4 linked regions of the Oreochromis niloticus genome follow. The main gene of each other region encodes a partner of the protein of the gene in region 3 in a complex. Links are inferred from orthologs where the notes say so. Each region holds a gene or a part of one and is shown on either strand. Other genes may lie near its edges. The genes, in order: eif4a3, upf2, upf3b and rbm8a.

Region 1 (8,105 bases), on a different chromosome or scaffold from region 3:
AAAGTGCTGTACACAAATATTAAAATAGACAATAAAATCAGTAGACATTATACACAATGTAAAAGATCAAATGTAAATAGTGTAAAAAATATAAAATATGTAGATCAACAAAAGGCTTGTTTGAACAGAAAAGTTTTTAACTGTTTTTTAAAAGAATCCACAGAGTCAAGCAAACGTAACTGTAGTGGTAAACTGTTCCACAGCCTTGGTGCAACAGACTGAAAGGCTCTGTCCCCTTTTGTCTTCAGTCGTGTACGGGGAACAACTAAGAGACTCTGAGTCTGTGAGCGGAGATGACGAGCAGCAGTGTATTTTATAAGAAGCTTGGATAAATAATCTGGGGCCTGGCCATTTAGTGCGCTATATGTTAAAACAAGAATTTTAAAGCAAATTCTAAACTCTATTGGGAGCCAATGTAGAGAATATAAGATGGGAGTGATGTGAACACGTTTGGTAGAACGAGTTAATAGTCTGGCTGCTGCGTTTTGTATCGCCTGGAGGTGATGATGATTTATCCAAGCTAGTAAACAGGGAATTACAGTAATCTAAGCATGATGACACAAATGCATGAATGAGTTTTTCCAGTTCAGCTGAAGAGACCATATGTCGCAGTTTAGATATGTTTCTTAAATGATAGAAACAGGAACGAGACAAAGATTTTACATGAGAGTCGAGGCCCAGAGAAGAGTCAAATATTACTCCAAGATTCCGAATATTTGACTTGACAGATGGACAGAAGGAGGCAAGAACCTGACTGATTTTAGAATGTAGCTCAGGAGGAGCTATGATCATGGTCTCGGTCTTGTTAGTGTTTAGAACGAGGTAGTTGCTTGAAAGCCACTCAGAAACCTGGGTTAAGCACTGGACTAGGGTGGACAGCCTATCCAGCTGATGAGGCTTAAAGGACATATGGAGCTGGATGTCATCAGCATAAAAATGATAAGACAGGTCGCTAAAAGATTGAATGATACCAGCTAAAGGAAGCATATAAAAAGAAAATAGTAATGGACCTAAAACTGAACCCTGTGGGACCCCACAGGTCAGGGCAGCAATGTCAGAGGTGAACCTGTCAGTCCTAACAGAAAAGGTCCTGTCTGATAAGTAGGAAGAAAACCAGTCTAGGGCTGTGCGATATGACCAAAATCTCATATTCCGATATAAGACATTATCGTTCCGATAACGATATAAATCACAAAAATTTAACATTTTCTGTAAATTCTGTGAATCTCGGGCAGCTCGACTTGCGTGAAGTGTTTCCAGCTGGGCGTCGTGTACCTGGAGTCGAGTGTTTTAACCGATGCATGAAACTATATATTTTTAGACATAAGTTGTAACGGCCGCCGTTTTCTTTGTGAGTATTTATTACACGGCGTGCTGCGGGGAAAAGTCTGTTCTAATGCTTGAGTCTAAGGTTTATTTTTTAGCAACTGATGGCTCTTTTTTGCTTCTCATCCACAAACACGCCGCATCCTCTTTCACGTGATTCAGTTTATTTTGAAAAGTCTCAACAGGATCTTGAGCTTTATTGTGAAAGGTTTATGTGGAAAATACACAAGTGGACACGCGATAGTTTTACCGTCGCTGTTGCTAATGACGACGTATAAAAACAGGCGCTTGTCCATCCGTAGTGTGGTTATATTAAATATAAGAGAAAGAGACAGGTTCTTCTCTACTGGGTTCATAAACACAATAAACACAATTTCACACCAGTAAAAACACCGCTTCATGAAAGATCCTGGTGATGCTGTTGTTTCACTGAGTTTATAATCAGCTGATAACAGCAATGGCAGTCCCTCTAACATCTACAGTTAGAGAAGATCCCGGCTCTACCACACCACCAGCACTTTGAAAATACTGAATTAAGTGACAGAAAAATCTAAAAGGTATTATAATTATTTTACTGAAAGTTTTTCTAATGAGTTTAAAAGATACATCCTTAAAGACTTAGCTGGATCAAATCACCAAAATATCAGAAAAATATATATTTCATATCCAGTCCTTCCTAAAAAAAAAAGAGCTCAGTTTTAACATTTTATATGAGTTTTACCCAACTAATGATTTTATTACACTGAGATTTAAAGTGGATGTTTTCTGTGATGGGCAGAGATTTGTGATGCCTGCCGGCCGGGGAATCAACTCAGTCAGTGCTAAACTGGAATTTTTATTAACAATTTAATGGAAAAAATTTTATTGACAGCTCTCAGAGAAATCAGAGCTGATCTCGAGCTGTTTGATAAGTCTCTGAAGGTTGTTCGAATTAGCCCATAAATCATTTCTATTACTTAAATATTTTAATTGACTCTGGACTACAAAAATAAAAAATAAAAATAAAAAATTTAATTGAACATGATCAACAGATGAATGCTTCTTTGTTTGTACACATGTTCAATAAAGTTTTTGTTTCCGACACAACTTCCCGTGTAGGTACTGAAAAAAGTACCTGGTACTACCATCTAATGGAAACCTTAGAAGGCACTAATAGAAAAAGGCTACGTTAGGCGGTGATACCTGGTACCAGGGTTTGTTTTTAGTACCTACACAGCCGGGGATCCAAGCGATCTGCTATAAAAGACAACAACGAGGAAACCAGCAGCACATAAACTAAATTAAATACAGTTACAGTCAGTTACTACATTACACTGAGCCACTGGACCAAGTCGGGTCACACACCGGGTCAGCAGTCACAGAGTCCGGTCTAACCCGATCTAAAGTCAGGTCTATCAGAACATCTGCTTCTCCGCCACTGAAAGTGCGCAGACACGTTAGCAGGTCGGGCTGATGCTAATCGGAGAGCTTCTGGAAAGAACTAAAAGCCGGATAGTCAGTCTAACGGCACCCCTCCGGATACGATGCCCCCGGGGTCGAACTGAGCACAGTGAAATCTCTTTAATTCGCCTACTCAACACACTGCGCCGACGTTAGCTTTACAGATGACTAGCTGAGCTAGCTTTCCCCCGGAGGCCGCGCCGAACCCCGGTTTACCGTAGGCGTAGATCCCGCGGAGAAGGTCCTCCCGGAGACCCATGGTGTCGAAGGTAGGGGTGACGTCCACCTCCTCGCTGGTCTCGAACTCCACCTTGGTCATATCTTCCTCCTTCAGGATCCTCTTCCTACCCTGAGCCCCGGTGGCAGCCATGTTCCTCGGAGCTTTTAATCCGTCTGAAAGTCGCAGATGTCCGGATTCACCAGTCCGCGCTTCGCCGCGCTGCTAAGCTAACTGCTAACGAGAGAAAGAAGCACGTGTCGCTACGCCGATGACGTCCGCAGCGGGCGACGAGGATTTGACGTCACACCAGGAAAAAATAACAAACTTCCGGGTTCTTTATCAGCGTACTCGGAGGCCGATTATACGACACAGAATAAAACGTAAACCTGATCGAATGATGAGAAACTGATCAATACGTGAATAAGAAAGTGTCTCAGTGTTCGATCAACCCGGGACAGAGAGACTTTTGAAAACAAGGAATAACATCCTATGCACAATAACCCGAACTATATATACAAAACACACTGTTTATTTACACCGGATTGTATATTTGTACATTTGTTTCCTTTTTTTCTGTTAATACTGTTCATATGAATATAGTGCTGCAGAACTGTGCCCCCCCCCCACACACACACACACACACACACATACATACACACATGTTCACTGAGTTGGAGATGCTCTGTATCTGTATCATTGTACAACTGTATAGTGACAATAAAGGCATTCTATTCCATTAAACTGGACCCTTTTTTTCTCTAACTTTATTTCAACAGAGACTTTAACAACAAGCACAACACACGGAGAGCATGTTGTACAACTGTAGTGCAAAATTCTAACACAGTGGAAGAGTATGTATAATTAAACACACAGGATAGAAATACAGATTAAACGGGGAAAGTGAGAGATACAGAGACGCTGAATAATTAACTTAAGACATTAAAATATTACAAATATTCATGTTTTTAAAGCTTTCTTGTTGTGAGAGGAACAAACTGTTCTGTTTCTGTCCTGAGAGTGGAGAGCTTACATTTATGGATGTGGAATTTGATTAATGAGGGAAAAGCATGAGAGTCTTTCTCACTAAAGTCAGTAAAACCAAATAACACGTTTTGGTAAAAACGTACAAATTCTGATAAGATGCTGTCAGAGATGAAACTAACGATATGTTTCATAAAACCTGAGCAAATGTAAATGTTTCTGTATCGCTCTTCTGTTTTTGAAGGATTTAAACTGGACCCTGAGACACACTGACAGGTGTGATGTCATCACGTCAGCCGCTACACTGGGCAGCCTGCAGGTGATGATGTAATCAAACATAAACAAACCACAAAAGTGTAAACTGACAGTTAATCTGGTAATCTAATATGAAAGCGGTCACCTGTGCGGCCAGGTGACAGGAAGGAGCTGAGGACTGACGCTGCTGTTGTATAAAATCACCAAATACTCCGATGATTTTCACCCCTTTAGAAACTTTGTTACTCTGTTGTTTAAATGAATTTCTTTTAAACAATGTTTTTTATTAAGAGTTTTTTCTTTATACATATAAACAAAAGGAGAAGAGAAGGATGGTTTGTACATTTGGGCTCATTAGTCCGTACACTTAAGGCCGTAAAATTTAGGGAGAAAAGGAAAAAGAAAAATAAAGAAAAAAAATACACACACACATATAAATGTGTAAAAACAAAGTGCTTCCCCAGATAACAAAGTCCCTGCAAAATAATCCCATTCATTCCCACCCAGGTCACTGTACACTGTATTTCCACACCTGACATGAGGGAGGTGCACACACTCATGCACCTGAAAAATTCTTATAGATTTGGAAATGCATCAAGGAAACGACCCCGCATGACACGACATGAGGTCATACAACCACTGTGTGTGTGAGTGGGAGGGGGTGAATGATAGCTCCTGTCTTTTAGAGGCACCTCATTCCCACTGATGCCAAACAGAGCAAGATGAGGGTCGGGGGCCAGCGTCACTCTGAGAATCCTGGACAGGGTATGAAAAACCTCTGTCCAGAACTGAAGGAGACTGGGACAAGACCACTACATGTGGATCAGTGAGGCTTCAGCAGTTTGGCATCTGTCACAATATGGAGCGATATCAGGAAAGACACGAGATAATCTGGATGTTTAAATAAAGTTTATTTGTTTGTGAGGTCACACTGAAGCAGCTTTATTAAAAGAACTACAACTGCTAAATTGGCCGACGTTTCCCACCTGCCTGCATCACAGGAGGCAAAAGTACAGATGTTCTGTACTTCTTCTACTGCAGTAGAAGTACATGGACTAGTGCTGAAAATACTACAGTAAAAGTTAAAGTACTGATTCAACTTCTTTACTCAAGTAGGAGGGAAAAGGTACCGTCACAGTGGGGGGTGTGTGTGGTTTGGTGGGGGGGTTCACAGCAGTCTCGGCTGGATTCCATCCTCCACACCGAATTATCTCATTGTTGCCTCGAAAAACCAAAAACGTACTTAAGGTGACTAAGTTAGGACAGAGTGTTCACTGAGTACTAAGAACTGGACTTTTCTGAGTGAGCAACACTAAATGTTTTTCCATTGACATTAACAAAGGTCTACAAAGTTCTAAATTAAAAAACAATTTATGGTAACTTACAATTTTTAATTTGGCTGACTGTAATAGGGCAGCCCTTAGCGGCTGGAAACACAGTGAGATGGACTAAGGCAAGTGCAGTGGAACAAAGTATTTATTTGCCATACAGCTCTCCTTACAACAATTCACTTCGAGCTTCTTCACAGCACAATATATCCTCCTCTAATGAGGACCAGCAGCCTTAAATATGTTCAGCTGTCACAGACCAAACCATTATTCCACTCTTAGGTAAATTCTTAAATCCCAACCTTCCACCACAGTATACAATATATGAATTAGAATAAATAAATACATAAATACAGTTCACATTTTCATATTAATAAATATTTCACACTTTAATTTTACACCAAACCCAATACTATAAAAACCCAGAAACCCAAGCACAAAAAGATTCACCATACTCTCTTTACCAATGGTCTCTCCCGGAACCATTAAATGGTGTCTGGACCCCCGGGGAAACATTTGCCCAAACACCCTGAAGAGGACACAGACAAGAAAGGTGAGTAATCATTGTCTTACAAACACTTATTTGCGCCACTTTCCTTCCTAGATTTCACACACACATTTGCATTAGTTTTCCTTACTGGTAAACCTTAATCATAATCTCAATCACCATTCTTCTCTCCTGACAGACAACCACCACATTCCTTGATGAGGAGCAGCTGTGCAGGATCTGAAACAAGGCTACCAACTGATTTTAAAATGCCCAATAAATAATCAATAAATATTTAAACTTCTTGTGTGCAAATGTTTTACTGTGCAAATCCATGCCTAAAGTGCAATACTAAATAAAGTGCTTGATAAGGTGCTTTTAATAAAGTGAAAAGTGTGCTCTAAAGTGCTATACAGAGAATATAATATAAACTAGAAAGCGAAAATTTCAGAAGAAATTTTATGTGTGCCTATGCCGCTGCTAATCACTGTAGTTTGCCATTCATACGGCTACAGAGAGCAAAACTCAGAAGAGCAGCCATTCTCCACCATGAACTATGGTAAAAACAAACACCGCTCACGCTTCACAGATGACAGCTTACAGTTTTGTGTAAAGATGAAGTTACTTCATACAGCGCCGATTTGCAGACGCTGTGCACACAGGTTCATGAGCAGAAGTCTCATTGTACCACGGCAGACCCGACAATGTTTGCATGAACATGCTTTGAAGCATTACGTTATGGACCACTTTTCACACATGGTTGGTGTACCCACACAGGCAGCTGTAGCTTTTCAACTCATAGCCCAACACACACCCAAAGAACAGCCAAGAGAGCACAGACTTTACACCCGTGGGTCCACCTCCCCTGCAGCGGCACTGCAGACCACGCCCCGACACACACATCAAACACATAAAATAAATATTTATGCACTTTCGCATTCACTTTTTGTTTTTTGTTATTTTTACACAGTGTTCTGAATGATGAACAATGGTCTACAGCCAATCTTGTGTATTATTATACAAACTTTGGTTGTAAGATTCAGATAAGTATTTAATAAAAGCTAAATATTTTATATGAGAGTAAGAAAGAAAAGTATATCTTTATGTCCACCTTTCTCTGTTAATGCCCTACCTGGCCCCCTGGCAAAAGCTTTGCTAGATCCGCCCCTGCACAGTTACCAGCTGTCAGCTACACAAAAAAAGGAGCTTGGTGTTTACAGGGAGTGCAGAATTATTAGGCAAATGAGTATTTTGTCCACATCATCCTCTTCATGCATGTTGTCTTACTCCAAGCTGTATAGGCTCGAAAGCCTACTACCAATTAAGCATATTAGGTGATGTGCATCTCTGTAATGAGAAGGGGTGTGGTCTAATGACATCAACACCCTATATCAGGTGTGCATAATTATTAGGCAACCTCCTTTCCTTTGGCAAAATGGGTCAAAAGAAGGACTTGACAGGCTCAGAAAAGTCAAAAATAGTGAGATATCTTGCAGAGGGATGCAGCAGTCTTAAAATTGCAAAGCTTCTGAAGCGTGATCATCGAACAATCAAGCGTTTCATTCAAAATAGTCAACAGGGTCGCAAGAAGCGTGTGGAAAAACCAAGGCGCAAAATAACTGCCCATGAACTGAGAAAAGTCAAGCGTGCAGCTGCCAAGATGCCACTTGCCACCAGTTTGGCCATATTTCAGAGCTGCAACATCACTGGAGTGCCCAAAAGCACAAGGTGTGCAATACTCAGAGACATGGCCAAGGTAAGAAAGGCTGAAAGACCACCACCACTGAACAAGACACACAAGCTGAAACGTCAAGACTGGGCCAAGAAATATCTCAAGACTGATTTTTCTAAGGTTTTATGGACTGATGAAATGAGAGTGAGTCTTGATGGGCCAGATGGATGGGCCCGTGGCTGGATTGGTAAAGGGCAGAGAGCTCCAGTCCGACTCAGACGCCAGCAAGGTGGAGGTGGAGTACTGGTTTGAGGTGGAGTACTGGTTTGGGCTGGTATCATCAAAGATGAGCTTGTGGGGCCTTTTCGGGTTGAGGATGGAGTCAAGCTCAACTCC
Region 2 (7,780 bases), on a different chromosome or scaffold from region 3:
AACCAGGTGAGTCTTCCTGTGCTGCTCTGATGAGTCAAACCAGGCAGTTTTCAAGTGTTTTCGTCAAACCTTCTGCTCTCTTCCCGTCTCTCACTCAGGCGTTGGGGATCCTCTGTACTCTGGCAGGTATCCTGTCTTACACTCACTTCAAGCTGATGGAGCAGGAAGAAGGGAAGAGCCGGCTGGCCCAAAGACCCTAGGCCATCTTAACATGTTGGTCTGCTGCACAGACTCCTGCTATTGGCTATCCACAGAGAGACCAGCTAGAGATACCTCTTTATATATTTTTACCATTTTTATTACAGTTATTTTTTTAGAAGAGAAGGGATTTCATCGTGGATCGTGTCAGATTTAAACGTATATGGCATGTTAACACTGCTGTTCATACTACTTCCACTGAGCTTCAGCAGCACTGATCCAAAGTCTTAAAGAAACCTGAAGCTCATCACAAAGGCAGCTTCTCAAGTGTTAACTCGCTCTCATCACGCAGCTTTAACATAGATGGATGGAGGTGAGGTTTAAACCAACCAATCAATCAAAAGAAGGCTGCAGTTGGGCTCTGTGAAAGATCCTTCAGGACACCAAACCTTCATCTGTTGCTGGAGGCTGAAAAAAAATATTGCAGTGATATTAGAAAAATTGCATCATCATCTGCTGTTTTTCTGATTTTTGGTACTCAGTGCAGACATGAAGGCAGAAGACACTGATGGGAATCCATCAGCAATCTGGCTGGATTTGTTTAAACAAGTTTACATAATAAATACTTCTGTCAGGTCCCACCTGTTATCCATCAACCACTGGAAGAAACCAGTTTGCTTTGAAGTGAAATTTGAAGGATTTTCTTATTAAATCATTTCAGTGACTTACAGATCATGAACACATAGAAACTCAGACACTGTTGGGGCTACAGCAGTTTTCCAAAGAAGTGAGTGGCAGAAGCTTTTCTGTTATCAGCCTTTCTGTATAAGTGATTTCCATAGACTGATCAAAATGAATTTGATTGCTAGTCAAAAGCCAGTAACTTACATGTGGTATGAAGTGATAAATGAGGTTCAATATTGAATAAAAAGTTACTAAATAACTTCTCCATAAACTGTTCTAAAATTTGTGGAAGACTTTATAATCAGGCAGAAATGGGTTAAAGTGAAATGGTTTATAAAATGATGGTTTCTTCCATTTCTGAGTCTCTGGCTCGTATTACTGAGCAGAAAAGTGACTCGTTGCAGTTCTGCAGGGCTGAGTTTGCTGTGTAAAATTTTTGTGGATTTTCTTTGCAAAAGTTATTTGTTTGGCCCTTCAAATCAGACACTGACCTGAATAATTCATTAATCTGTTGGGGGATTTTGTTGTTGTTTAGAGTCTGCGATAGGTCTAGTTTTATTTCAGATTTAGCCACATTCATTGCTGATGTAACTTTTTTAAATTAGTATTTTTTGATAAAATTTTCTTAGCTTGTGTAGCTGTTATTTAGTGACATATTGCATTATTTGGGTTTTTTTTTTTGCAGTCTGATCCTTTGTCTTGACCGTGTTGATGGTACAGGTGGGATTTTGGGGACGTGGCTCAGCAAAGCATGATGATCTGCTATTGTGGATTACAAATCTGGAGAAATGCTCAGTTACTCAAAGAATTGTTGAAATAAAACTTTAATCTTCTGCATCTACAGTGATTTCTTCTTCATGACACTTTGTGATGTACAGCAGCTTCTGAACATGTAGTCCTCAATCTGACATCCTCGTGGTGAGCACGCTCAGTAGCGCTTTCTTGTTTATATTTCACTGTATTAAGCAAATTCAGCCTGCTGAATAAAAACGAATTAAGTGGCAGTTTGGATTGTTTGAGGGTACACAAGTATCTAGATGTGGTGCTCCTGAAAAAAACAAAAAAACACCATCCGTTAGTCTTTATGATCTTGTTTACTTGCTATCATAAATATGCTATTAAAATGACTTCTTGTAATAAACATGGCCAGTCTGAGCCAAATCTTCTGACATGCAGTTTTATCTACTCTTCACTTTGTATTAAGCAAGAAGGAACATCGCATAAACGGACATCTTGTGCACAGAAGCTCCACGCACCTGCTGTTCAAACCTGTTTATTGGAGGCAGCCAATGAGAAGAGAGTTGGTTTAAAGGGAGAGGATGAACTGAGTTTGAGCTTTACAGCTTTACAGCAGTAGCTTTGCATGACTGTAAAATATGGAACTGGAAGAATGGTTTAAACACCCACTTTAGGAAGGGCAGCATTTTCATCGTTGCTCGCCCAGACATGACATCGTAGAGGAGCACACTGTTGTCATCTGTAATAAGCATGTTATAATATAACCACACCTAAGTGGAGTTCTCCTGTGAACGGCCTCACTGTGGAGCGTCCCTGGGTTTCCCCTTAGATGCGTGTGTGCCTCATTCATACCCTGCCAATAAAGCTGCAATTGTAACACACACACACACACAGCAAGGCTGTGCCAGGAGGGAATTTCAGATGAATGAACAAGTGGAAAGAGTGTGTGTTTAAATAAATCTCTACTCTCTGAGGAATGAGCGAAACCCGAGAGCTGTTATTAAACTGCATACTGCGGGCATCCTACTGCTACCACTGTGGGTATGTGTAGAAGGTATTCATAAGTGTTATTTTTGGGGAGAGAGGACTGAAATGCAGGCTCTGGGAGGCTGAATAAAACAAGGAAAAGTTAGCTTTAAAAGCTGATGAAATACATACTGCTAAAATCAAAAGAGGAATCAGAGACTTGTGAAAAGTACAATGAGAGAAAATGGAAAAGAGGGAAAGGCAGAACTAGAGCCACAGCTGAATAGTTCATTTCTCTTGGGAAAGTTTCTAAGTGAAGTGTCCCTGAAGCGCAGCCACAATAAGAGCTGTCTGAATTCTGTGAATACTTAGGAAAAGTGCTTCAGTGCTTCCTTTACGACCTCGTTTAATATTTTCTAAAAACAAAGGAGATCATGTGGTCCCACAATTCACAGCAAACCACCATTCAAATGTCATGAAAGACAATCAGCAACTGACAGCTGATAGAATCTACAAATATTCAAAAATATGTTTTTAATCTCTAAACTTTAGGCTGCTTCTTCTCCATCTTCTTAATCTACTTCCCACCTCTGCACACATCCAAACAATCTCAGCCTTTGTCTTCTGTCAACCACTCAACCTGAAATGTCCCCACTGGTCACTCCAAATGAAAATCTCAACATCTTCAGCTGTGTTACTAGCCTTTCTGTCTTGTTGTATCTGCAACCATCTTCTAAACCATACATCCATTCTCTTCTGCTTATCTGGTTGAGGGTTGCTACCATAGGACGGGAGTCAGTCTGTCTCAGTGCTAACACAGACAGCCAGTCACATCCACTCCACCCTGTCTTCTTCCCTCCTTCGTGCACTGTCGGTTGCTTTGAATGGTTGACCTCAAGTATTTAAACTCATCCACCTTCGCTGCCTCTACTCATTGCATGTTCACCTTTCCACCTGTCTTCCTCTCATTCACACACATGTACACACACACCTTCATCTTTTGGTAGTCTGTCTACACACCTGCATCAACAACATGCAATGTTACATTATTAAGGAGGCTTTGGTAAGTGCAACTGGATCCTCTGAAGTCCTTATGAATTCCCCTTTGCACATTTCCTTGAATTCATAATTTCTTCCATTAAGATCAAGATAAACTGATTAGGAAAAGGGGGTAGTAGGTCAAAATATATGCAGAGGACTGATTGGTAAAGAAGACACAGATATGAACAGCTAAACCTGGATAGACCGAATATAGCGAAAAGAACAAAGCATGAAGTAAAAAAAAAAAAAAAAAAAAACATTTAAGAGATTTAAGAAAATTAACTTCCAGAACAAAACAGGAAGTAACTGAAAGATGAAAGTAAAGATGAAACTGTAAAGATGAAAGTCCATAATAACACCTCTACTTGCTTCTTGAAAACCTGCGGTACCCATGTTGAGTCATATCAGGGCACTAAACAGCCATTATCAACTGTAACCTCTTCACAGATATAACTAATACCTACTCACAGCCCAGGATGTGTGTTGATTAGTGATTAACTGAAAGAAGACAGTGGAATAATCACCCACAGGTTACCTAAAGCTTCAGTTGATGCACCTGTTAACTAGTGGTGAAAAACTATAAATAGGAAAAACAGTTAAAATTGCAGAGAGAGTATAATTATTTCTCCAGGAGGACTCTTTTGTCCTTCACAGTTTCTGTTATCAATGCATGGCATTAAAAACCTGGCAAAAGAAAATACTTTTGAGGAAAAACGATTAGGGTAAAAATTATATCTATATCTATCTATATATATATAGTCTGACCTGTTAGCAGTCTGGAATGCTGCCTGTTGGGGAGACAACAATTTTAATATATAATATAATAACATTCGCTTCTTTAAAGATTAAATTGTTAAGGCAATCGTTTAGAAAGCTCAGAATAAAAATGCTCTCATGTACCGGAGAAAATGTAAGGTAACTTATATATTTTTTTAATCAGGCATAATTTGGAACTCCAAAACGAGAGGGTCCTGATGCTGTTCACCCGGAAATCAGCACGGATGAACCGATGTTTGTTTTGCTACGGCTAACAGGTAACCCCGCTCATCTTTACATATTATTTAGAAGAAACTGGGCTTCTCTAAACAGGGAGTGCTTGCTGTATGTTTGTGTAAATTTGCGTTTTAATTACTGTCTGTCAGTTTTGCGCTGTCTAAGCGTTTGTTTGCGGCTGTTTTCGCTAAGTCCATTTGAGCTAAACCCGCTAGCTGTGCTAACGCTAGCTCTGTTTTGTTGTAAATTTGTTTGTTCATTTAAAAACGTCGCAGCGTCTGCTGGGCGCTGTGAACGCGGCTTTCTCCTTGTCTTTTAAAGTGAAGCTTCTGCTGAGCTGTTCACACGGAGGAAGCTGACGCAGGTGTAGCGGAGGCTCGGCGGATAACAGGCGGAGTCTGCGTGGGCGGCTGTCACGCTGATTTTAACGTTACAAGTTCAACCCCAAAAGGTTGATTTTGTTGAACGTAGCGTTTACAGTGGAAGAACGTTACACGTTTAACGTTAATCTCTTCTTTTTAAACACGTGCACGAACCAAACAGCGTTTACACGCGCGGACAGGTGTCAGCTTTAAGGAGCTTCTCGCCTGATTTACCTGCTCACCTGCAGGGCCCGTTCAGCCGTGTTTACGTGGAGTTTCTGTCTGAGTGTTTGATTAAACTGAATTATTTTTAATTTTAGGCCCTTATGACATCTCACCACGATGACCCTTCCTCCATTTTGTGTCTGGAGACTTTAGACGTGACTTTTAGTTTATATCAATCCTGACTTTGTTTTAATGTCTCAGGTAAACAGGAAATCGTTGGGCTTACCTGTGCGGTTCGATCACAGCAGTACAATGATAGTCTGTGTCTATGTTTAATTTGAGTTAATTACTTTTGATTTGTTTCAAAAGATCTTCAAAATGAATTACTATAGATGTATCTGTCTGCCCCACAAATTTTTATAAATATTTTGTTATGTCTTTTCATGGGACAACGTTGAAGATATGACACTTTGAACGGATTTATTTTTCCAAGTGGACCATTATGGCTTTGCCATAGTCCACTTGATTATTATTTATTTATTTTATTTTATTTTTAACTTTTAAGTTTTTAGAAACAGAACAGACATGACTTTTCATGTTGTTTCATGAAAAGATATAATAAAATATTTACAAAAATGTGAGGGGTGTACTTGTGAGATACTGTACATTGTTGCCTCACTTAGTTAACTGTTACTGTGTACCTGCAGCCCCGCCCACAGTGAGAGTCCAGAGGGGTGTACTCTGAAGTGAGATGAATGGTTTAGTGAGCTGTCTTAAGATTCAAATCAGAGGTTTCAGTGTCTCTCTTTTTAGCTGGCTAAATCACCATGGTAACTGATGCTGAACACATCACTGTGTTGGGAGCAGGTTGTTATCAGAGTTTCAATTTAAAATGCAAATGCAATATTTTCATGTATTCTCTTATTTACAGTATGTTATGAGAGCTCTATTATCTGCAGATACATGTTATATGTGCAGCTTGTTACCTCACTAACATCAGGAATGAAACTCAGCTGTAAAGTACAGCACTGTATGTCACATTGTCAGTGGAATGTGCGTGTAAAACTATAAATGTTTTTATACTTTAATGTATTTTTCGGTGTAAATGTAACTTGGACCCATATAAGCTGAGTTTGTTTGATCGTTAATGGTTGGTTTGTTGATTTGAGGATTTTGGTGTGTTGTGCTTGGTGTGCAGCTGTGTGTGATAAGTGTCAGGACCTGAAGTTTCCCAGGAGAATGTCAACAAGTATTCAAATGAGTTATTCCCATTTCATTGGATTCATAAGGTTAAACAAGGTCCGACAACAAGTTCCATACCCTCCTGAGGGTTTTTTCTTAAATTGGATGGCCTAATAGAGTCAAAGGAAATCAGAACATTTAATAATAAAGCTGATAATTAATATTTCAATTTTAATAAGAGGCTGATTGAAATATTTTCAAAGAAGCACAGATGGTTGTATGATTATTTAACTTATACAGCAGCATCTGTTGTCATTAAGCTTTTCTTGTTGTCCTTCCTCAGTATGCCTGCTGAACGCAAGCGCTCAGTAAACATGGATGAGAAAGATGTTTGCACCTTCAGCAACAAGGAAAAGGAGAAGGACAGGGAGGCTGACAGGAGGCCAGGATCTGCCCGGGACAAGGCCAAAGACGAGGCCAAAATGACCGGCAAAAAAGACGGTGGCAAGGAGGAGAAGAGGAAGCGGCTAGAGGAGGAAAAGAAAAAGAAGGAGGAGAAGGAGCGGAAGAAGAAAGAGGAGGAAAAACTGAAGGCAGAGGAGGAACAGAAGAAGAAGGAAGAGGAGGAGAAGAGGCAGCAGGAGGAGCAGGAGAGGAAGCTCAAAGAGGAGGAAGCCAAAAGACAACGTGAGGAGGAGGCTGCCCTCCTCAAGTAAGTCATCGTGATTGTTAAATTCTGACTTAATAGCGATTTTAGCAATGTTTAAAATGCCATTTAGATCAATGCTACCGCTTACTTAATCTTAGCCACATTTATTGGAGGAAGGCGTGAACACATCAATGTTAACAAATCTGCCAAGCGCAGGGCTGTGATCTTGCTCCATATCATGTAGAAGAACAACATTATCGTCAAAATCCAGCACAAATTTTGGTCAGTAGTTATGCTGAGGCTCATTAGTATATAAGCATAATAAGAGTGGGGAAGGCATACAAAGACTTGTTTTAAAGTCTGTAGAATAATACACTGCACTAAAGTTCACAATAAAATGAAGATTTGGCGACATAAGAGCTGATAAAATGGCGATTTGACCTACAACTTTATCCCAAGATGAATCTCTGTAGTTTTTACTAATTTAGCATTAATAAATTTGAAGATAAACTTTGATAAAAACATTTTGAATTCAAAGATGATCTTTAATGAGGTTCTAATTTACTAGAAATACAAAACCTCTCCACATCAGTGCTTCATCTGCTTGTGCAGTTTAATCTATTGGGTTTAAAAGCTGTACATTTGCTTGTAATAAATGAACTACACAAAATTTCTAGATTCCCTAAAATGGCTGTAGTTCTGTTCAAATGCAAGCTGATCAGGTGAGTTTATTTGAAAATCTCCATGTGGCCTTTGTGTAAAATACTTAATACAGTAGCATGTAAAACAAAAATGTAGTGGTAAAGCTCAAGCGACTTAAACCTTGTGTTAAAAGTTTGTCATACACTGTCTGCAGATGAAA
Region 3 (7,790 bases):
ATCGCATAATAAAAACACAAGCTGATAAAGTGCAGAGGACAAATTATGGCACCGAGTTCATGAGAATCATAGCTTTACAGAAGCAGCTGCACTTTAGGATTATCGTACAGGCTGTGAAGCTATGCAGTCCTCTGCCTGAGGGGAGGGCGGTAAACGGTTAATATAAATGTCCTCTAAAGAAGGAGAGCTGCTACAAGTCACTTTTCAGGCAGATTTATCAAATCTTTACAGTGTGTTTTTATTGCCCCCAGAGCAGTTGCCATACCAAACAATTATACAGTATGTCAAGATGCTCTCCAGCACACAATAAAGAAGTCAGCACAGCTGCACCAAGGCCAGTCTGCTTCAGCTTCTTCATAAAGAAAAACAAAACAAAACAAACGAAACAGCTCTTTGTGAGCGTTCTGATAATACTGACCACATTTGTGGTTCATGTAAGGTTACTGGACATACGCAGAACCAGAGCCACAAGCTCAAGTTTCTCCAGGAATGAAACCTGTGATCTCTCCTCCTAAAGTCCACCACAATCCCTTTCGTATTCCCCACACTGATGCACACATTGTTTGCATCACACCTGCCAACAAATTCTTCCACCTGTCTACCGTACATTGCTGGAGATCAGACCAATGACGATTGTGCCATCTATAAATTTCATCACATGAATGCCTGGATATTTTGAGGAGCAATCGCGTGTAAGCAGTATGTACAGTAGAAGGCTCAAGAGACACCATGGATCTTGACTAACCCATTAATCTACTAGTAGTGTAGGAAATGTGATGCTAAACCTCAAAATGATTAAAACAGTATCTATGATAGATAAAGGAAATGGTATGGTTATGATAAGCATAAACAGACCCATTAAAAATAAAGTATTCTGGTATTAATTATAATGGGATCAACCTAAAATAGCTTGTTCACTTGAGGGTGAATGTATTTGGACAATTAAAAGAAGAGTGAAGAACTAACTTCCTTCCTCGATCCTCCTTGTGCTCGATGTTCTGACGTCTCTTATGATCAGAACCTCCCAAAGATCTGTCCTCTCTATTTGGCTTCTCTGGTTTCTTGGACTTCTCTTTTGGCTTCTCCGGTTCACCTTCATCTCTTCTCTCTGGCTTCTTCAGGAGCTACAACAGTAAAAATAAACACACATTAAGTACTGAGAGTTGGACACAGTTTCGAACTGCTTCTTTCAACTACTGCACACACCTTTATCTTTGGCTCGTCTTTAGCTTGGTCCTTGTCCTTCTCCTGCGGTTTCTCGAGCTTCTTCATCTTCTCTGCCTCTTTGCGTTTCCTCCTCTCCTCCTCCCTCCACTTACGACGCTCCTCATCACGCAGACGTTTGCGCTCGAGTTCCCTCCTTCTTCGCTCTTCTTTCTTCTCCTCCCTGAGTCTCTGTAGAACATTAAAACAAAATGTGTGAGGCCAGCCTCCAGCAATGTATACACATCTCGACCTGAACTTATTTACCTGTTTATTCTTCAGGAAGTCCAGCAGAGGAGTTGTTTTTTTTGCTTGAACAAAGGAAATGATAAAAATTATTCATTGTGCAGTGCGTTTGTTTGAAAACTACCAGTATTTGACTGCTAAACATACCAACGAGTTCCTTTGATTTAGCTTCAATCTCCTCCAACAGGGTCTCAGGTGTGGACGTTAGCTTCTCGTCGTCCCCGTTGTAATATTCAAGGAACTTTTTGTAATCTGGATCTTAAAAGAATCAAATGAAACACAAATAAACACATTAATGATTATAGCAAGACTGCTTTTTCTGTATCTTTATATGTCTTTATAAGTGTTCCTAAATTGCACTTAAAGCAGACCTATAATGCTTTTCCTTATTTTCTGACATACTGCGTTACAATATATGAATTGTATTTATCAAAGGGTAAATATATTTACCTTCGACAATTGTTCCACACTTTGCATCCTTTTTTTTACTTCTTTTCTTGGCAGTTTTTTGAAAAGGTGCAAATTCCACAATGGCAGGATACTCCTGACCTGTTCGTAAACATCATGTGGAAAAAGATGAAACTTCGGGTCCTTCCTACAGAAATCTTTAAATCTGTTTAGTAACTTCTTCCCTGTTTTATACCTCTGTTGTCAATGAATACATATCCATCAAAGCGATCTCTGAAGAGCACTATATCCTCTTGGTTTTTGAAGTTGATGTAAGCCCTTGCAAAGAGGTGAGGGTAAAGGCTAAAAGAGGAAAACACCTGTGTCATACATATACGAGTATATTTATCTTTTGTTAACAGTGAGGGAATCTTTACAGATAAACTCACCTCGTGTCGTTAGAGAAGAACTCCAAATAGTCCACCTCTGGGAGCGGTTGCAGTTGCTCCTCCAGCTCCTCTTTGGTGAGACTTGGTGGTAGTCGTCTGATCACAATCTATTTAATAAAAAAAAAAAAAAAAATCATAGGTGAAGTTATTATCTGGAGAACAAAGTTGGGGCTGATAAACAGATTTCTTAAGTTCACGTGCATTCTATCATTATACACGTGAAACATGATGAAACACTACAACATGAAAAATAGTGCAATTTTATAAACCTGGCGGTTCATAGCAACATGAGCTAACGCAGCTAGCAAGTTTTACCTTTGTCATGGCCTCCTTCTTTTCCTTGGACTTCTCCGTCTTCTCTCCATCTTCATACTTTATCTCCACCCTTTTCTCCTTCGGTCGAGTGTTTTCTTTGTCTTCCTTCATTGCAGAAAACTTTACTTAATCCTGGACTTGGGTCTCATCTCATTCAGCTGACTTGTTTACCTTTCAGCGAGTTAGCCTCTGCTAGTGAACGAACTAACTGGAACTTCCTCACTGACGGTTAGCGCTGCGTTTAGTATCAGCGCCGGAGTGGGGCGCTGTACATGAACTCAATCGTGCCTAGGCAATTAATTTAATAACTAGAATATATTTTATTTTGTTTTATTTATAGTCTTAATTAGTTTGTCCATGAAAGGAATTATTCTGAATGGTTTCTTATTTGCTATTAGAAAGAAATGGTGCTAGCGTGAGCCAAAAAGAGCTTCCGCCTTTCAGCTACACTTCAAATTAAAAGCTTACTCGTCGTGTAAACACTTAAGTCATGTTTGGCGATTTCCAGACAAAAAACAAAACAAAACAAACGAACGAAAGAAAATTAAATAAACAGGATATATATATATATATATATATATATATATATATATATATATATATGTATATATATATATATATATATATATATATATGTATATATAAAGATTGCTTAACTGAAAATAATTGCCTTCCATAATTCAAAATGCTTCTTCAGAGATCGCTTTGCTGGTAAGTCGATTTTTTGGTGGGGAGGAGACTAACCCTAAACTCAAATTTTTGAGATAATAACGAAAAGGGGAAACGTTGACCTATAGATAGCTAAACAAACGTTTTTTAAGTTTTTTTTTCCAGTGACAAGTGTCCATTTAAAAAAATTAACATATAATTTGAATTATGATAGAATTTTTAACACTTTTTTTTCCTCCCCACATATCCATGTCCGATCGGTTTCGTCTTTTGACTGTAAAAGCATAATTTAATCATCGATTTAAAATTACGATCAAAATGAATTGTTGAATTGAAGTGTTTTATTTTGAAAATCTTCAACAGGAAGTTCTTCTCTTGTCCTGGAAGAGGAACGTAGGTCGTCCTGACGGTCGACATTTTGCTACTTTCTGGGATAAATAAACAGCGTTAGGTAGGTTTTGGGGCAACTTTGTTGTCCTCGAAGTTGCTCTTTGTCCCCTGACAGTTAAACGCTGTAATCATGTGGTATGAAATTCTGCCCGGACTCGGCGTCATGGCCGTGTGTCTGATCATTCCCGGTGTCGCCACCGCGCAGATCCACAAGTTCACTAACGGAGGAAAGGTGAGGACGCAGGCGCTGCCAGTAGGTTCTCGTGTTGTGTACCAGACTGCTGGATTATAAAGAGTGTGTTTTTCCCCCGCAGGAGAAAAGGATTGCTCGGGTTCCGTGGCAGTGGTATCTCATGGACAGAGATAAGCGAGTGTCAGGAACCGGACGCCACTTTGACTCCAAGGTTAGCTTCCTTCTGCCCATAATAACTAAAAGTAATGCTAATGAATAACAAAGTGTCCAACTTGGAACTACTTTACAGCCTTTCTCTGAGACTACAACTACATATAAATACAAAAGTCGCTTAAACTGCTCGACAGTAGTGTGCACAGTTTCAGAAAAAGCAGTATGTGCAAATACGGTGCACTTTCAAAACCCTAGTTTTGTTTCAGTCAGGCATTTCATGGAGGCACACCAATGTCCACATTCACAGAAAAAAAAAAAAACACTGTATATCATGTGACTCATCTGTGTATATTCTTTTAATTATAAAGGCATTCTTGGTAGCACATTTGCACTATCTGGGGTGCATCTGTACTACCTCCACGCCATCAATCAGATCCTTTTATGTGTACAAACACAGTGCATTTGAATATCACTCATTATTGTTTTGCCTCCCTTGGACTTGTCTCAGCACACCAGCATGCCATTTTTTTTGGGGGGGGGGGATATCGAAATGATTTCTTTTTTCCTTTTCCTTAAGCTGTAGTATCTTTAAGATCATTCATCTGATTGGAGTAGTTTTATGGGAATCTGTGTTACAAATTTGAACCCTCTATCTTTGAAACTGTTCATCTAAAAACTTTCAAATATTTGTAATGCAATCAAATTTTCAAGCTAATTGGGTTTCTCAGAATGTGATGTTTAACTTCAACAACACTTTAGAAATTCCATATTCCTGAAGTCAAGACAACAGATATTTGGCCTAAAAAATTGAATGACGTAGCTTAAATAGTTCTCTGGATTGGTGCATTTTCAAATGGCTATAACTTCATTACAAAATAATTTTTATCGAAACGTGTCCTATAATGATACTTTAACCTAAACTATATAATTATGCAAAGTGATCATCCCAACATGCTCTATGCTAAATAACCCAATGCCATGCTTTAGCCTTTTATATAGTAAGTACCACACGGTGGTCTTCCTTGTTCTCGGTCATCAGGTAACACCGATGGCGGTGTTAGTCTTGTGTAGAGCATAAAAGGAGACCTAAAGTCCATAAAATGTGTTTTTAGCTTAACTGAACACAATGGCTGCTCATGTATAACTACTTTTAATCCTTATTTATTTCGCTTTTCCTCACCAGGGACTTGAGAACATTCACTGACGAGGAACCCGGAGAGACCCAAGAGAAGAAAGTTCTTTGTTGTACATTAAAAGATTATATTTAACATTCAGCTGTTTGTGTTTTTCAGTCTTTTAAGATGGGTGATTAAACTCTTCCACACACTGGGAATCTTGTGAGGCTTCTTATATTGATTTCTACCAGTAACAGAAGAGAGAAGGAGTGTAGTTACTATTTTATTTTATTACATCTGCTTACATGTTGACAGGTTTACTGGACTTGAGATGTCTCACAGTACCTGCTGTTACCATTTAGCTGTAATACGCCTTCCTGCAGCATCACGTTAACTGTAACTAACTCTATTGTTCCAAGTAGCTTCAAAAAACAACTATTGACAAAAACTAAAAGACGTGATTAGTCCATACATTTTTTTTTTTTCAGTGCAGTTCATTAATTTCTTTCAGTCTGGGATTAGGTTTAATCCAAGTTGTGGAAACATGATGTCAATGTTTTCTCAGTGTTTCTTTCAAACCACCGTCACAGGCAACCTGTGGTGGATGCTCAGGTGATATTAACTAATAAAAAAAACAGCAAATGCAGGAAAAAAATATTTTGTTTCTTACAAAAATGTTCATTTAAAAAAGCACTAATTGAAATGCTGTAAAAAGTAAAGAATTCAAAAAACTCCTGTAAGAAAAAAAACAATAGTTCTGTATTAGCAATTTATAGAAATTTCTTTCTCACGCCAGTGAAAAACATCTTAAAAGTCATAAGACTTTCAACTTGTAAATAAATAAAGGTTTATAAACAGCTGAAGTAAATGCACACTGTGGCCACTGATTCACTATAAAGAAGCTGAAACAATTGCTAAAGATATTTGGGGGTCACTGTGGCTAAAAACCAGTCAAGTATGGGCACCACTTTAGGTCAATGAGTGAGCAGGTGATCACATGTCACATGGTCAGAGTGCAGTGTCCCTCCTCACTTTTCTTTCTTTCCACTAAAGGCAAACATGCCCAAAAAAATCAATATGAACAAAATTTCCACCTCACCTTTCCAAAAGTCGGCCATTGTTTTTACATTTATTTGACCTGTACCATATCCAGTGATAAACTGCAATATTGATACTATGTGTATTTTCTGAGGCAGAGACTTGTCTGTGATGTCACAGATTTTACCACTACAAATATATATTATTTTGAAATGAAAAAAACAAAACAAAACATGCTTGGAACAAAGTAGACTTTTGCTTTAGACTGTGGACTTGAAATGGTGGTAAAATTAATTTGGCGGCACTTTTAAAGACAGCTTGAACTTTTTTTCAGTACTGAAATTTTCATGTGGTTCCTGTTCTTAAGTAGCTATTTGCTCAGATATTTGCTCAAAAACACTGGCAGATTTATTTTTAATATTCAGAGTTTGATGGTAAATTTTTTGCCAAGTTTTCTTAAATATGCTACAATTAACTCGTCACAAAAAATGATCAGTTATTTAGTTTAAAAAAAAAGCCTTTATTTAAGTGTTTCACTCAGATGAGGTCCTGCACTTTAAAACAATAATACTACAAACTGCTCTTTTTTTCTAAATGGTTTTCTACTCTTGATGCATTTATCACTTATAGTAGAACTCCCGGCAAGAACAGAAAGAAATAATAAAATGGCAACAAGATATGATAGTGAAAATTTATTTAACATTCTGGTTGGGAGCATTTGAAAACATTTACAAGAGACGGATAAAAAAGGGAAGGAGAATACAACTGAATACTTCTCAGACACATTTTTACAGTTAAAACACTCCTGCACTGTACACTCGATTCAAACTGAGAGAGAAAAAAAAAAGCTTTACGCCTCATGTCACTAAACAACAAGTAAAGGTTCCAATAACAGGAGACAGAAACTGGTCGTTCACTTCTCCTCCTTGCCTTTGGTTTTCCTGTACACCATCTCCCTGAAGCTCGACAGGATCTTGCTCTCTCTCTTTCTCCTCTCCTCCTGGTTGAACGATGCCAGGGCTCTCTTTTCGTCTGCGCTGTAGATCTGGTTTTCCTTTCTCAGACGCACAGCCTCCATACGACGATGTCTGCGGGGCGAAAAATTTGTCAATATTACGGGAAGAAAAGCTGAACACGCTCCTGGATCTGCTCAACTCAATCCAGCCTAGAGCACAAGCTAAAGCAAATGTTACAATGTGCAGAGATTAGTAAAGAAATTAAACAACATTTTGAAGCATTTGGTAACTTTTGCTGCACATATATGTTTTGAGGTTTGGTTTAAAATCAACTGGAAATGCCACATTTTCACTGATTCCTTTACTTAACCCATGTTTTAACTCACCATATAGAGCCTCTGCTGGGAGAACACATTTTATATGTTGTTGTTAAAGTGTGCCTCATTAAAACTACTAAATCAAGAACCGCCTTTTTACGGAAATCTGCGTGTATTAATGTAGTAATGCAGAAAATGTTAAATCCAGATGGTGACTTTTGTTTTGGCCAGGCAGTGGACTTGTGAAAAGAATCTTCACTACAAAATCGTGTTGATTTGTTTAATATGTTTGCATGAATCGGACCACAGCTGAGGTGAAAATTTTCCATTTTCTAAACATTACGTACCTGCTGCCACTC
Region 4 (7,294 bases), on a different chromosome or scaffold from region 3:
AAACAATGCTGCCACCTTGTGGTAGAAAAGAGGATGTGTTTCTATATTTAAAAGGAACAGTTTTAATTTGCACCTCCTTGCCCTCACCTAGTTCCCCATCGTTAGACTTGACTGTGCCCCCACTAAATTTTATTTCAGCACGCCTTACTGAAGGATGTCTGCATCCCTGAAATGCAACTGGAAAAGAGAGAAGAGGCATGCTGAAGGAGCTATAATCAAAGATGATCAGATGCATCCTCTGCACAAGTGTTTTTCCCGCATGGAATAAGTGTTATACACAGCTGAAATACAATGACAATGGTGGGATGAGGACTCTACAAATAGCTGTTCCTTTGCATTCATGCAGTTGTTTCAGTTTGGCTGCAGAAACAAACTTGCTCTACTTTACCATTTGTGTGGAATAAAAACAAACAAATGTGTAATATCTGTATATTCCTGATTTGAATTTGGTTAAGTTGACCTAACTATAAAATAGTGTCACAAGCCACTGTTAAACTGACTTATGGGATCATAAAAAACAGACAGCGCACAACAACAAAACACTAAAAGGACAATGAAATGTGCTTTTGGTAAAAATTTGACGTCGTGTGTAAAATTTCCAGTTTGATCCACATCACATGTTAAAAATGAGAACAATCTGATCAGAAAACCAGCAAGCAGGTTACCAATAATTCCATTTTTCACATGAACAGAGGAACAGTATGGGATTGTTAAACCAAAACATAATCCTTTACAGAAATTAAGGACATTTGCAGTATTAAAAATATTTGGATTTAGGGTTTAGTTTAGCGATAATTAGAACAAGTCAGAGAAATGTTGGTTACTTTTTTGGTAACTAACTTGACACTGGCACTTCTCTTTGTATGAAATCAGTTAAAGTGTGACTCGGTGGATGGTCTTGGCTCTGGCTTCTGAGTTTATTCTTCATGGATGGCATCGTGGTGTCATCATTAAGGGTCAAACAAACATGTTATGCAGCCAGGTGTTGTGTATGCAGCTGGAAGGCAACAGTGATCTGTCTGGGCTCAAACCACCTTTACCCCAGAATGAAGCAATGTTTTCAACAAGCCATTTTTTCCCCCACTCAAACACAATTGGATGTAAAAGCCAGTCAAACAAAACAAAAAGAGCCAATTTAACAGTTTAACAGAAGCGTTGTTTGGGGTGTACAATCAGCCTGTCTGAAAGATCTACGGAACAACCCCACGCCTCCCATTCCTCAAAGTATAGCTGCAAACCACACTGAGGTTCAACTCCAAGTAGCGGGCTAGAATCAGGTATCACCAGACAGCGAACCTGTACTAAGCCAGGGTTATCAGCTCACGCACGCACACAAAAAACCCACACAATAATAGTATGTGGTTTTTGTTGTTGTATTTTTTTACCTTAAGGTAACCTGTTCTGCGATCAAGGTTGAGATGGAGGTTTTTGATTTCTCCAAACTCTGAAAACTTGTCATGGATGTCCTCCTCTGTGGCCTCCTCATGTACACCCGTCACAAAGAGGATCCAGCCCTCCACAGCTGCAGCAAGGAAAGGAATCAGCATGTAATGAATCAAGTACCACTTTCAAGTGTATCAGCTTAAAAAAGACAAAAAACAAACAAACAAAAAAAAAGCGCTGTATTTGAGTCATAAATAAAAACTAGTTGTTGACAGTGTGATGCCAAAGGTGCTACGTTGCAATAAAGCATTTAATGTAAAATAAAAAGCTTTGCTTTGATATTAAGTCAATAAATAACAGAAGTGACACTTTTTTGGAAGCAAGTCTGCTTTTTTGTAAATCTGAATGGATTTTAATGGTACCAGCGTAATCCTTCTTTTGCTGTTGATTAACTCTGAGATTTCTATTCACACATGTAGCTTGGACTTTATACTATTGACCAAACTTATCATTACAAGCATTGGAGTTGTAACTCAAAAAAGCAGCAGCATTGTCTTACCGGTTACTTTTAGAAAAGTAATGCATTACTTTACTAATCACAAGTTATTTCATCATTTTACTTTTGCATTACTCTGTAACACAGCCTGTGGTGCTGTAGTGAAAGGTTTATAAATTGACAATTATGAGAAATTGCACCACACAATTGTAATGAGGACAAACACACAAATTATTTTTGTGCTTAAGTATTAAGACAATGACAATTAAGAACATGTATTTAAATAAGTTCTAACATGTTCTACCCAGTAGTGATTATCACATCAACAGCAAATGATGTAAGATTACCCAGAAAACCACTGGTACTTTCTGCTATATCACAGCAAAGCCACAGCCTGCCGTTTCAAGTTCGTGACATAATCCTTTGTTAAACCGTTTCTTTACTCACATCTCTGAGGGCCTGGCTCATCCCCATCTTGTTCCACAGTATCATAGTCCTCTTTGGTTCTGGACCGGGCTCCCTCCTCTGGAAATATCGACAAAGAAACACTTACTGTACTGCATAGCTAAAGTAAGAGAGGCTATGTAAAATATCGCCATCACACCAGGGGTCACTCACCTGAACCGAAGCCTCTTCCTTTCCTCTTCTTGGCTTTCTCTTTCAGCTTGTGGATGCTCTCTAATGAATGAAAGATGAACAAGTCAAAGCCAGCGCACGTCGCTGCAATGCTCTCTTGACTACAAGTTATCAACGAACAAAATTCGCCAATTTAATTCAGCTGACTAGGAACATGTTTAACATGCCCGCTCCCCCCAGTTTGAGCCGCAAAAACAATTACCCGTTAGCTGCACTAACCGCGAATTAGCGTGTTAGCAGCTGCTAACAACCCTCACAATGAGAGTTAAGTTACCGGCCAAGTAAATTTCCCCTTCAAAAAGAAACAGGTGAACTTTAAAGACCTCTATGTCCGTAGCCTCGCTAACTTGTACGGAGCGACTGAATAAATCAACTATACGGCGCTAACTCGCATTAGCATGTTAGCATTGATCGGGCCTGCCACCACGCAGTCTAGCTTTTGTTCCGTTTACGAACATGGCGGCTGCGATTCGGACCTCAATAATTACACATCATTTGAACGCGGGGACAGTAAAGTATTTTCCACTAACAGTGAACATAATATGATTACCATCACCATCCTCATCCATAGGAAAGTCCTCGCCTCCCGCTTCATGAAGGTCCAGCACGTCCGCCATGATGTCTCTGTGTGTATGCGTCTGACCAACGTAACGTACGTACGCAAAAAGCGCTGAGAGGTAGGCGGAAGTTGCCAGTTTGTATAAAATAAAAGTCAATATATTAAATAAAATACACAAATACAAATGAAAATAATATATATATATATTTTTTTAAAGGTAAATGGTAAATGGCCTGTATTTGTATAGCGCTTTACTTAGTCCCTAAGGACCCCAAGGCGCTTTACACTACATTCAGTCATCCACCCATTCACACACACATTCACACATTGGTGACGGCAAGCTACATTGTAGCCACAGCCGCCCTGGAGCGCACTGACAGAGGCACTATTATTTTTATCACAGAAAGTAAAATGGCTCAAATCAATTTACACAAACAGGCACAGTTAGGTTTTTAATGGTGTAGCTTTAAGATACCTGCACTTACAGCACTGTGCAACTTGTCATTTCTCTATATTTTGTTTGGAAAATAAAAAAACTGGTGCAATGGTTTATTGAAACATGTGCAAACCAATGACGCAAACATACATGGAAATACAGTACACACACAAAAACAAGTTTATACAATTCTAACAAGCTTGAAAGGCAGTGTTTGGTGTAACCACCTTTATTCAGTTGAACTCTCTTGGGCACCTTTCTTGTCATTTGTGTAAATAGTCTTCAGGAAAAGTTCTCCAGGCTTCTTACTTCTTGGGACCACCAGAGCCCCAAAGACTCAAATACAACTGCAGCAATGTGCTGTGAGGCAATGTGCAAAAATTGCAGTGATAGTAGAAGAAACCTGATTCATCTACGAGGACCCCACCCAACTCCACTCACTTCCATTGCAAGTGGAGTGTATGATTTAGTTAAAATAAACATATAACACTGCAGCTAATATTTCAGCACACGTGGTATATAATATTAAATACTTTTAAGGTGCACATTTTGAAATAACTTTACAAAGCCATTTTTGTCCATTTGATTTAGATCGTGATCATCAGTATTTCATTTTTTTTTTACTTAATTTCTTTGAGAACTGTAGATAATAATTACATATAGTCTGTACATGCAAAACAAACACAATGTTTTTAAAAAATATTTTCAAATACTTTGATTTTAGCAAGGCAAACAATGGGACATGACATAGACACTCTTTACATATATCATGGGGTTTTCTTGCCATTTCCAATGATTTGTTGCAGAGTACATTAGGGTTTTGTAGAAAACTTTGTATTCAGTGTTAAATTGTCTTCATTTATATTCTGGTGAGATGATTAGAAACATTCACTCACTTGCCGTCAACTGTAATCTGAAGACTTATTAAACATGTCACATTTCAGGGAAAACAGTGTCGTTTATTTGTTCTCTCATCCTGAATTTAAACATTTCCTGTGTTTCTCCAAAAGTTGAATCTGTTCATCTGGACGTAGCGTTTTGTGGGAGAAACGTTTCGTCACTCATCCAAGTGACTTCTTCAGTGTCAGCTGAAGGAACAATGGGCTGTCAGCCCATTGTTCCTTCAGTGGGCTGTGAGGTCCTTCCTTCAGTGGGCTGTGAGGTCCTCACAGCCCATTGTTCCTTCAGTGGGCTGGTTTCAGTCATTATGCAAATGTACTGTTTATAAGGTTTGGGGAAACCTGCAGTCAGCTGACACTGAAGAAGTCACTTGGATGAGTGACGAAACGTTTCTCCCACAAAACGCTACGTCCAGATGAACAGATTCAACTTTTGGAGATTTACTTTCCTGGATGATTGAGAATGCATCAAGACATTTCCTGTGTTTATTACACTGTCATCTAATCGTGCTTAAAATCCACAGCGAGACAGTGTGCCTGAGGTTTATGACTCACATCTTCAAAAATTCATGCTCATTCAATCTCTATTACAGAGATGCTGTGATTTCCGATAACACATCCCATTATGTCTGAGTTACTCTTATGCTTTGACATAAGTATACACAGACTCATTTTCAATTGCTATTCTAATTTCACTGTATGACCTGGAAACAGGAGATGAATGTGTGTATTTTCACTCATAATAGTGTCTGCTTATATTACACTTACTAGTGTGAACTGGCTCTAATATGACTTCTGTATCATATGTAATCTTACCTAGTTTACAGGGAATTGCTGTTCCCTGTCATAAATTACAACATAAGATAAGGCGAAGGTGAAAAGAGCAGCATTTTTTTTTTATCTTCATCCATATTTTAGGCCGTTTTTTGGTTGTTGTTTTTTTTGAGGATTTATGTGTTGAGTTTGTTGAATTTTACTTTAAACAACTAGAATATCTTTGTTTGAGTTTTGGTTTTTGTAAAAAATACATTACAAGACCAACAGAGGGCAGTCATGAATCCACTCACGCTTTTGACCCATGTGTTTGAAAGTCATATAAAAGCTGTTCATGCTTGTATTCTGGTGTCATTCTGGTATACTGAGAGCTATTCTTACTGTGAACTGAAATCAAGTGTCGGTAGAGAAATGACTTCAAGCAATGTGTAATCTGGTTAAAGGGTAAAAGCAAAATAGTAGAAAGATGAAAGTAGTTCTGATAAACATCTTTAGTAAATGTACTGACCCTTATATAGTGCGTTTCTATTCTTGCACAGCACTCCAAGCACTTTATACAACATGCCTCATTCATTCAAGCCCTTTTATTCTACGCTTTCTTGTATCTTGGCCAAGGATAGTTGACATGCAGACTGACCTGCCCTACTTCCGGAGCTACAGCCACCCTTCCAAGCCCCATAGTAAGCATATATTGTATATAAAAGTAAGTGTGGAAGTGCCTTTAACCTGCACTGTGTCTAAGGGCCAGCAGGGAGCGACTCCTTTTGGATACCAACCGGTCGCAGCAGATGGCCTCCCCTCCCTGAGCCTGGTTCTGCCGGAGGTTTCTTCCTGTTAAAATGGAGTTTTTCCTTCCCACTGTCACCAAAGTGCTTGCTCATAGGGGGTCATATGATTGTTGAGTTTTTGTCTGTACCTATGAAGCACCTTGAGGTGACTTTTGTTGTGATTTGGCGCTATATAAATAAAATGGAATTGAATTGAATTGAATATGATTTAGGGCATTCGAGTTTTTATAGCTAGTCCAGTGTAGTTCTTAGAGGGGAATCAAAGTATTTGTAAGATCTGCCAGATGGTGGATTCATTTAAGTACACTAATGTGAATATTGTGTAGAACAGGGGTGTCAACATGTGCTGCGCAGGCTTACCGAAGGGTCTGGTCTGGCCTGTTGGACGGCTTTGCAAACTGTGAAAATTGCTGAAAAAAAAGTATAATTTCACTGTGATCTATAAGTTTTAATGTACATGTAATGACATTAAATTGAGTGTGAGAAACAGACATTCTTGCAAAAAAGTCCAGCTTAAAATCAAACATCAAATCTTGTGCAAACTACCTCTGTATTAACATTAAAGGCAAATCCTCTGTGCAATAAGCTGCATTTGTCCAGTTCCAGTTGTCCAGATCACCACTTATTTTGACTTCAGCTGACTTTGTTCCAGTTTCTCACAGTGCAAATGTGTTTTGAAAGAAAAAAATAACACCCAAAGCATTTTGGGCACTACAACACATCAGACTTAACACAAGCAAACATCACAAAGACAGTTTTTACATGCTACAGATATGAACGTTTCTTTGTAATCACTTTATTATGCTCAAAGGGGTGCAGTGCAATATCAGGAGGTACAAAGACAGACAGATATGCAGGTTGCCATAGTGACACTACAGACACACAATGTCCAACCTTGCCTGCTGCTGTAACAATAAAGGGTGAAAAAGGGAGCACAATGGGTTTAAAGAAAAAGATAACACTTCACAAATAATTTTAACAGTCCAAAGATTTATTCAGCAAGATTAAAGGAACTGTGGGTTTTTTTCTCTTTTGTAGGTGGTGATACATGTCCCCATCTTGATTGTTTTGATGTGACTTACCTGGTTTTTGACTGGTCTGCAGAGATGTGTGCCTTCTCGTGAGTATAACAGAGTGAAATGACACTCACCATGTGTTGGTTAGAGTGCCACAAACATATATCTGAAAAGCCCAGCGTATAGTCGCTTTTCAAAAATATGTTACTTAAATATAGAAAAATGCTAAGCAGTTTCATGTAAGAATGTTGACTTTCTACTAAAATAGACCCACAAGTCACATGACAGTTTCTACCCAAAACCACAG

Evidence for each region.
Region 1: upf3b (region 3) and eif4a3 share a complex: the UniProt entries of both Homo sapiens proteins name them as parts of the mRNA splicing-dependent exon junction complex. The link is inferred for Oreochromis niloticus from reciprocal best matches to the Homo sapiens genes UPF3B and EIF4A3.
Region 2: the proteins of upf3b (region 3) and upf2 are in contact, whole or in part, in a crystal structure (PDB 7NWU), measured with the Homo sapiens proteins. The link is inferred for Oreochromis niloticus from reciprocal best matches to the Homo sapiens genes UPF3B and UPF2. Residues at the interface, in NP_542199.1 of Homo sapiens: Lys52, Arg56, Arg57, Tyr79, Glu81, Phe83, Asn85, Asp86, Thr87, Ser88, Leu89, Tyr90, His92, Tyr94, Arg96, Tyr98, Ile130, Glu132, Pro135, Phe136, Lys138, Ala139, Ala140, Arg147, Asp148, Lys150, Val151, Gly152, Thr153, Ile154; in NP_056357.1 of Homo sapiens: Lys767, Arg768, Pro769, Pro770, Leu771, Glu773, Tyr774, Lys777, Lys790, Arg793, Gln794, Arg796, Lys797, Leu798, Pro799, Trp800, Gln801, Cys811, Ile814, Asn815, Trp817, Tyr837, Gln838, Glu839, Asp840, Ile843, His844, Val846, Asp847, Gly848.
Region 4: upf3b (region 3) and rbm8a share a complex: the UniProt entries of both Homo sapiens proteins name them as parts of the mRNA splicing-dependent exon junction complex. The link is inferred for Oreochromis niloticus from reciprocal best matches to the Homo sapiens genes UPF3B and RBM8A.

The regions. Positions count from the first base shown.
Region 1 is NC_031971.2:41,936,772-41,944,876, reverse strand, and holds the start of eif4a3 (eukaryotic initiation factor 4A-III), read right to left. Parts: upstream 3,271-8,105; 5' UTR 3,137-3,270; coding exon 2,983-3,136; intron 1-2,982. UniProt on the Homo sapiens protein: ATP-dependent RNA helicase. Involved in pre-mRNA splicing as component of the spliceosome. Core component of the splicing-dependent multiprotein exon junction complex (EJC) deposited at splice junctions on mRNAs.
Region 2 is NC_031981.2:19,589,442-19,597,221, reverse strand, and holds the start of upf2 (regulator of nonsense transcripts 2), read left to right. Parts: upstream 1-4,493; 5' UTR 4,494-4,601; intron 4,602-6,612; 5' UTR 6,613-6,613; coding exon 6,614-6,981; intron 6,982-7,780. Other genes in the region: slc35e3 (solute carrier family 35 member E3), read left to right, coding at 1-6, 99-200. UniProt on the Homo sapiens protein: Involved in nonsense-mediated decay (NMD) of mRNAs containing premature stop codons by associating with the nuclear exon junction complex (EJC).
Region 3 is NC_031966.2:18,506,133-18,513,922, forward strand, and holds the start of upf3b (regulator of nonsense transcripts 3B), read right to left. Parts: upstream 3,029-7,790; 5' UTR 2,712-3,028; coding exon 2,601-2,711; intron 2,393-2,600; coding exon 2,286-2,392; intron 2,200-2,285; coding exon 2,093-2,199; intron 1,999-2,092; coding exon 1,900-1,998; intron 1,708-1,899; coding exon 1,597-1,707; intron 1,515-1,596; coding exon 1,471-1,514; intron 1,396-1,470; coding exon 1,207-1,395; intron 1,125-1,206; coding exon 967-1,124; intron 1-966. Other genes in the region: ndufa1 (NADH dehydrogenase [ubiquinone] 1 alpha subcomplex subunit 1), read left to right, coding at 3,790-3,891, 3,974-4,063, 5,189-5,209; nkap (NF-kappa-B-activating protein), read right to left, coding at 7,072-7,246, 7,779-7,790. UniProt on the Homo sapiens protein: Involved in nonsense-mediated decay (NMD) of mRNAs containing premature stop codons by associating with the nuclear exon junction complex (EJC) and serving as link between the EJC core and NMD machinery.
Region 4 is NC_031976.2:34,767,326-34,774,619, reverse strand, and holds the start of rbm8a (RNA-binding protein 8A), read right to left. Parts: upstream 3,198-7,294; 5' UTR 3,133-3,197; coding exon 3,066-3,132; intron 2,558-3,065; coding exon 2,498-2,557; intron 2,405-2,497; coding exon 2,327-2,404; intron 1,523-2,326; coding exon 1,386-1,522; intron 1-1,385.